Xenopus tropicalis: one gene and its partner. The protein of the gene in region 1 interacts with the protein of each later gene in a biochemical or structural test. Links are inferred from orthologs where the notes say so. Each region holds a gene or a part of one and is shown on either strand. Other genes may lie near its edges. The genes, in order: limk2 and rock1.

What was found.
Region 2: of the proteins of limk2 (region 1) and rock1, one has a biochemical effect on the other in vitro, tested with the Homo sapiens proteins (2 studies listed by BioGRID). The link is inferred for Xenopus tropicalis from reciprocal best matches to the Homo sapiens genes LIMK2 and ROCK1.

Annotation. Positions count from the first base shown.
Region 1 is NC_030677.2:152,021,695-152,025,513, reverse strand, and holds part of limk2 (LIM domain kinase 2), read right to left. Parts: coding exon 3,686-3,819; intron 243-3,685; coding exon 152-242; intron 17-151; coding exon 1-16. UniProt on the Homo sapiens protein: Serine/threonine-protein kinase that plays an essential role in the regulation of actin filament dynamics. Acts downstream of several Rho family GTPase signal transduction pathways.
Region 2 is NC_030682.2:108,394,917-108,399,507, reverse strand, and holds the start of rock1 (rho-associated protein kinase 1), read left to right. Parts: upstream 1-1,591; 5' UTR 1,592-2,889; coding exon 2,890-2,982; intron 2,983-4,591. UniProt on the Homo sapiens protein: Protein kinase which is a key regulator of the actin cytoskeleton and cell polarity.

The DNA of each region.
Region 1 (3,819 bases):
AAAGCAAATCATCAGCCTAGAATGGTTAAAGGAAGGGAAAAAGCTGTAAGTTAAGGGAATTTCACCAGTCCTGTAAAACCAACAAAGGGTAATTTTCTTTTCGATTTTTACTATTTTTGACCCTTTACAGAAGCAGACTTTTTGATCTAACCTCCTTTGAGCTCAGTGTGGTGACGGGGGATCCATTAATTTCCAGAATGCGGTCTCCCTGGTGCAGTAAATTCAAATTTTCTGTGCTGACCCTTCCAGGAAATAAAACACAGTTAGTCTGGAATATGTCTTTTAACTTGAAGTCTCTGGGATACAAGATGACTTTAATGGCTCCCAGTCTCCCAAATGGCTTGTCAGAATTATTTGTATAGCATCCTTTTAAAGGGATATTGACACTTTCACATTTATAAAGAATGTCACTATTCCTTTAATAACCCAACACTAATCTTACTTTTTATTTGTGCCACCTGCCTTTCCGCTGACCAAAAAAGTCCTCTCAGAATCCTATTATGAATTTACCTCACCTTCCAAGACCAATATTATCTCCTGTAACAATGGGAGCATCATCTAAAGCTGGCCATACACGTGGCGATCTGACGATGTTTCGTGCGACCATCGGCCGCACGAAACATCGTCAGATCCGCCACCATCCGTCAGGGCTGAAACAGCAGATAAGGAGGTAGAAACAATAGGATTTCTACCTCCTTCTGCCGATTCAGCCCTGACGGCTAATTTTGGTCAGGCGCCTTCTATGGCGCCCGATCAAAATTTTCTAACCTGGCGATCGGCGAGTCGACCCGCCGACATGCCATACACGCACCGAATATCGTACGAAACGAGGTTTCGTACGATAGTATCGGTGCGCGTATGGCCAGCTTAAGGGGTTGTTCACCTTTTAGTATGATGTAGAGCAGTGATCCCCAACCAGTGGCTCCTGAGCAACATGTTGCTCAACAACCCCTTGGATGTTGCTCTCAGTGCCCCCAAACCAAGTAGTTATTTTGGAATTCCTGACTTGGGGGCAAGTTTTGGTTGAATAAAAACAAGATTTACTACCAAATAAAGCCCCCTGTAAGCTGATAGTGTGCATAGAGGCTACCTAATAGCCAATCTTAGCCCTTATTTGGCACCTCCATGAACCTTTATGGTGCTTGTGTTGCTCTCCAAGTCTTTTTACATTTGACTGTGGCTCACGAGTAAGAAAGGTATGGGACCCCTGATGTAGAGAGTACTATTCTGAGATAGTTTGCAATTGGTCTACACTTTTTATTATTTGCAGTTTTTTAATTATTTCAATTTTTTGTTTAGCAGCTCTGCAGTTTGCAGTTTTTGCAGCTGGAGGCTAGGGTCCAAATTAACTTGGACCAGGAACCAGGAAGTGGTTTGAATGAGAGACTGGTATATGAATAGGAGAGGACCTGAATACAAAAATAAGTTATGAAAAGTAACAATAAAACTGTAGCCTAGTATATACATATATACAGTTCAAATGGTAGGCACTCACGATAATTAAGTCATCCGATGCCTGGGTGCAGTCCTTCAAAATCTAAGGGTAGATAAATGCACAAACGGGCCACTTCGCTCAGGACTTATGAAAAAATAAATAGAATTAATTAAAGTACAACATGACTGATGTTTCGGGTGTGTCAACAGCCTTTCTCAAAGTTTTCATAAGTCCTGAGCGAAGCTGCCTGTTTGTGCATATATATATATATATATATATATATATATATATATATATATATATGAATATATATGAACAAAAGGAGCACACCCTATCAAGGTTCAAATGCCCAGGGTGCTAGGGAAAAACATATAGAGCAAGACAGTGAGCTGCACACACTAGGACTTGAAAAAATAGAAAATTTATTTAAGCAAAGAAATCCAACGTTTCGAGCACTAACTGTGCTTTTTCCCTGAGGAAAAAAAAAAATATTTATATATATATATATATATATATGTCAGGTTCCTGTGCTGTACAAAAATGAGACAAAGATAAATCATTTCAGAACTTTTTCCACCTTTAATGTGACCTATAAACTGTACCATTCAATTGAAATCTTTTCGGTGGAAGAAAACCAAAAAAAATTAAAATAATGTGGTTGCATAAGTGTGCACACCCTTAAACTAATACTTTGTTGAAGCACCTTTTGATTTTATTACAGCACTCAGTCTTTTTGGGTCTGAGTCTATCAGCATGGCACATTTTGACTTTGCAAGATTTGCCCACTCTTCTTTGCAGAAACACTCCAAATCTGTCAGATTGCGAGGGCATCTCCTGTGCACAGCCCTCTTCAGATCACCCCACAGATTTTCAATCGGATTCAGGTCTGGGCCATTCCAAAACTTTAATCGTCTTCCAGTGAAGCCATTCCTTTGTTGATTTGGATGTATGCTTTGGGTCATTGTCATGCTGAAAGATGAAGTTCCTCCTCATGCTCAGCTTTCTAGCACACGCCTGAAGGTTTTGTGCCAATATTGACAGGTATTTGGAACTGTTCATAATTCCCTCTATCTTAATTAAGGCCCCAGTTCCAGCTGAAGAAAAACAGCCCCAAAGCATGCTGCTGCCACCGCCATGCTTCACTGTGGGTATGGTGTTCTTTTGGTGATGTTTTTTGGAATTATGGCCAAAAAGTTCAACCTTGGTTTCATCAGACCATAACACCTTTTCCCACATGCTTTTGGGAGACTTCAGATGTGTTTTTGGAAAATGTAGCCTGGCTTGGATGTTTTTCTTTGTAAGAAAAGGCTTTCGTCTTGCCACGCTACCCCATAGCCCAGACATATGAAGAATATGGGAGATTGTTGTCACATGTACCACACAGCCAGTACTTGCCAGATATTCCTGCAGCTCCTTTAATGTTGCTGTAGGCCTCTTGGTAGCTTCCCTGATGAGTTTTCTTCTCGTCTTTTCATCAATTTTGGAGGGACGTCCAGTTCTTGGTAATGTCACTGTTGTGCCATATTTCACCACTTGATGACTGTCTTCACTGTGTTCCATGTTATATCTAATGCCTTGGAAATTCTTTTGTACCCTTCTCCTGACTGATATCTTTTAACAATGAGATCCCTCTGATGCTTTGGAAGCTCTCTGGGGACCATGGCTTTTGCTGTGGGATGCAACTAAAAAAATATCAGGAAAGACCAACTGGAGCAGCTGAACTTTATTTGGGGTTAATCAGAGGCACTTTAAATGATGGCAGGTGTATGCTGATTCCTATTTAACATGATTTTGAATGTGATTGCTTAATTCTGAACACAGCTACATCCCCAGTTAGAAGAGGGTGTGCACACTTATGCAACCACATTTTTTAGTTGTTTTGGTTTTCTTCCCTCCACCTAAAAGATTTCAGTTTGTTTTTCAATTGAGTGGTACAGTTTATAGGTCACATTAAAGGTGGAAAAAGTTTTTTATATCCACTGTGAATTTGACATCTGCCCGCTCCAGCGTTTATAGATTACATTTTTGCTAACTAACGGTATTGAAAACATTTTTCATTTTGCGCAGTCTATCTATTTTACCCAGTTTAATTTCTACATTGATCTTTTCCTTTAATAGAATATATATAATTGGTTGTAGGAAGCTTATTTGAGATGAATACTGTACCTCATGTATATATAACCCAACATATATGCTTAGTGTTAGTAGTAAAGGGGTCCAAAACAACAAAGTTTAAAGATTTATACTCACTGTGTGACCTGCATGTTCTCTCTTGACACAGAGAAACCCCTATTGCCTCCAGCTTGAGGTGGGAGGCGCAGAAGGGTTAACATATGAGGATCATGCTCCTGTGCTGATTCAATGCAAAGACCCTCAAACTTTGG
Region 2 (4,591 bases), on another chromosome or scaffold:
GGCTGCATTTCTGATCAGCGCTCTCCTTGTTCGGCCTGTGAGTTTAGGTGGACGGCCTTGTCTTGGTAGGTTTACACTTGTGCCATACTCCTTCCATTTCTGAATGATCGCTTGAACAGTGCTCCGTGGGATGTTCAAGGCTTTGGAAATCTTTTTGTAGCCTAAGCCTGCTTTAAATTTCTCAATAACTTTATCCCTGACCTGTCTGGTGTGTTCTTTGGACTTCATGGTGTTGTTGCTCCCAATATTCTCTTAAACACCCTCTGAGGCCATCACAGAGCAGCTGTATTTGTACTGACATTAGATTACACACAGGGGCACTCTATTTAGTCATTAGCACTCATCAGGCAATGTCTATGGGCAACTGACTGCACTCAGACCAAAGGGGGCTGAATAATTACGCACACCCCACTTTGCAGTTATTTATTTGTAAAAAATGTTTGGAATCATGTATGATTTTCATTCCACTTCTCATGTGTACACCACTTTGTATTGGTCTTTCACGTGGAATTCCAATAAAATTGATTCATGTTTGTGGCTGTAATGTGACAAAATGTGGAAAAGTTAAAGGGGGCCAAATACTTTTGCAAGCCACTGTACATCTACAATATTTCCTTTTCTAAGTAAATGCCACTTTAAATGGTAAGATGTGTTGCCCGCAGCTAAATCTGGCAAAAAAAATCTCTCCAGAATGCTTTCCTCTCAGCGATATAGTGAATTGCTGGTGGAAAAATATATCTGTATATGTTTTGCCACCGGTGATTCACTTTATTGCCAGCGTAGGCCCAACCATATGTTTTGTACCCTTACTGAAGCTGATAAGTAACAATAAAATTAAAAACGATAACATCCACAATGTTGAAATGTTACATCAGCGCTGGGAACGATTGTGAAAATTCTGATTTAATATAATCAATCTTAAACTCTGCTGCCAGGATCCTCCTGCTCTCTCCTAAGAGGGATCCTGCTCAGCCTCAATTAAGCTCACTAGCATGGCTGCCTGTCAAACAAAGGATAGCTTACAAAATCCTTCTGCTGACATTCAAAGCCCTTCACTCCTCTGCTCCTCACTACATTTCTTCACTGGTCTCCCTACATGTTCCTGGTCGTCTCCTCCGCTCCTCTCAGAGCCTCCGTCTTTTTACACCATCCACACCCACTGCGCTCTCCCGTCTTAAACCTTTCTATCTCGCTGCTCCTTACCTCTGGAACTCTATCCCTGAATCCCTCCGTAGGGAAAACTCACCCACTCTCTTTAAGAAAAAACTCAGCTGTTACCTTCTGGAGCACTAAAACATTATTTTGCCCAGTCCTGCGCTTAAGGGCAAATGCCCATACCTGATGCACTCTTACCTTCCAATGTGTGCCTGTATGTTACCCAACCACTCAGATTGTAAGCTCTACAGGGCAGGGACCTCCTTCCTACTGTGTCTCATACCACATGGCACTTATATAAATATATATGTATTTATTATATCACTCGTCCTCCCTGTGTGTAATTTTGTATTCTGTAAGACTGTACAGCGCTGCGTACCCTTGTGGCGCTTTATAAATAAAGTTTTACATACGCTTCATTTATTAGGTGACTTAACATAGTTTATATTATCTGTTGGTTAAGTATTTGGGGGTATAGTTTTCCTTTAATTGGGCTGCTGAGGGGTTTTGGCCATCTATGTACAAATGTACTTGAAATGTCAGGGCCTATTCTGAAGCCCAGTTCAGACCTGCTCTTCTACCACTTTTCCCATTTTTTCTAGCAAAGTTTCCCTTTTGTTCTAGGCTTTCCCTATTTTATTCGGATTTCCTCCCATACGGCGGATTAGTTGCTGCTAAGAAAGCAGGGCAAGCCTCATGTAATGAAAGGTTGCAGCTACCGGCTCATTCCCTTTTCACGCTGCCGCCCAACTCTGTGACACTCCTTTCTTCCCGCCCGTCACGCTTCCGTTCCAGCAGCCAGGCCCAGGTGGCTGAAACATTACCACCTTTTCCTGCCGAATTGAGCGTTCATTGAAAACTTGTGAGCTACTGCACGCAGCAGATTGAAGCCGTGTGGCGACTCTATAGAGAAACGTGCGTTCCGAATTAGTCGCTCGCACAAGTGTTCCAGTCAGCGCAATACTGATTTCTAATGTAGAAGATCCGAGCGGCGGTTATATGTTTTTGCTCTTAGTTGGTTAGTATGGTAGTGACCGGCACTTTTCTTCCTGACTCTGCTTCCGAGATTTCGTCGGCTCCGCCTTTCTGCCTCCCCCGCAGCTACTCCTAAGTTTTGGCGCCTGCGCAAAGCAGCGCAGCTTCCTTCCAACCGCCAGTGTCTGTTTGAACAGGAAGGCGGACATGTTTGTAGAGATTCTGTGAGCCAGGGCGATCGGTGCCGCAACGCTGTACAGTAAAGGAAATACCAAGATTTCTTTCAGGCCCTGTACAACGTGAGGCGGGGGAAAGAGCGTGGCAAGAGCTGGTGGCAGTGCAGGCCTAAGGAGACATGATGAGGCGGCGGGGAGGCCAGTGAGAAGGAGAAGAAGGAGGGGGCACAGATCACACTAGGGGGTGCTGCTTGCGGGTGACAGGGCTCTCTGAATTAAGGCCGGAGCTGTCACGGAGCGCTATTTCAGCTGTCACCTGCTTTGCGTTCTTCTCGCAGCTCTCGGGGTGTGACTATCCCCGGGGCGGGGAGGGGTTGGCCCAGGCCTGTGTTTATGTGTCCGGAGGCCCTAGGAGAGGATGCCGGGGCCCATCACACCACACAGCCGGGCCATGAAGCGGGGGTGAGGGACGCACGGACATTAATCTCAGTAATAGGAGGGAGGATCGGGGAGAGATACGCACATAGATACATATACGGGCGCACCCACATATAGTGCCCCCCTGGCACAGCCCATTCTCACCATGTCTACAGGGGACAACTTCGAGTCCCGCTGCGGGAGGATTGATGGCATCTTACGAGATCCCAAGTCTGAGGTTAACACCGACTGTCTGCTGGTGAGTGTCTTCAGCCCAATAAGTTCAGCTTGTGCCAGTGCTACTGAACTACAACTCGGAATGAGGGACGGGTTAGGGTAGGATAGAGAGGGCATTTATTACTAGGCATTAGCAGTGTCCCAGCTGCAGCCCTTGTTAAACTCCCACTCCCAGTTCAGAAGCAAGCTAAAGGTCTACGGGTCATTCACATTCCCCCACAAAGAAATTCCATTAGCAGGCCTTGCCATTTCTTCCTCTGTGGCGTCTGGGAGTTGTAGTACAACAGCAACTGAGAAGCAGTCAATGGAATTTACTGTTTGTATTATATGGCAACCACAATGGAGCAATAAGCAGTGTTTGTGTGTTGGTTATCCAGGACCAGGTTGTGTAAGTCTGTTGGACTGCTAGAACTGGTGTATGGCCATGTGTAGCTTCACAAGCTGTAAATGTAACCGGGTTGGATCCCATTTTGCCTTTTCCATTAAGTTGCACATGAATTTTTGCAGATGCTGTCAGCTGGTTTATTCTTGCAAGGATTTCATTGTTAATCATGGTTTCGTTGTTAATCAGGGGAGAGAAGGTATTTGGACCTGCCTACTTGTACTGGGGATATCTGTCCCATAAGGCTTATGATGTGGGGCATCTTTAATTTAGCATAGAAGAACCAGACACTAGAGGACAAATTTCTGACCAAAATCTGCCTGTCATCTCTAGCCATCTCTATCTGTAGGAATCTCTAAGGCCTAATACATTTGGGGTATTTTGTATGCCCTGTATTCCACTGGAAAACAGTGGCTAAATGCCCTGCTCCACCTGTCACTGCTTGGGAAGTTTGTTTACTATTAAGCGCTCTCAGCTGATGCGCACGGTGCTATGGGGACTAGTAATGTGTGGTTCAAAAAACTTTGATCCATGTGAACAGTGTTCCCCATCAAGCCTGCCATAATGATTTATATACCTGCATCCAACCTGCTCTGACATCACTGGGGGTGGATCTGAGCATGTAAATAACAGTGGCAATCAGTTTCTCAGGAGTGGGGTTGGGACAGGGCAGGAAAGAAGCTGGGCCACCAGTGATCCCCAACCAGTGGCTCGGGAGCATCATGTTGCTCACCACCCTCTTGCCCATTTTTACATTTCTGGCTTGGAGGCAAGTTTGGAAGCACAGAGCCTCCACATGGGGCTACAAAATAGCCAATCACAGTCCTCATTTGACATCCCCAAATAACTTTTTTCACGCTTGTGTGACTCACTAACACTTTTTACATCTGAGTGTGGCTCACGAGTAATAAAGGTTGGAGATCCCTGGTTTAAACTCTCCTTTTCCATGGTTTTAGGGGCAACTCGTTTATCATTAATATTAACCTCTGTGCACATACAATAACTTGATTTTTTTTTTTGTAAAGTGGTCTGCTAGCCTGAGCAAAATTACATGCAGTGACAGACTAAGGCGTTTAGTCCACCACTGCTAGATATCAGTGGCTTTCCAACTGCCCCATGTTCCGTTAGCCCTAAGGGCTGTGGCACATGGGGAGATTAGTCACGGGCAACTAATCTCCCCGAAATTCCACCCCACTGGCTAAAATGTAAATTGCCAGTGGATGGCATATGAGGTGCCGCGATCGATTTC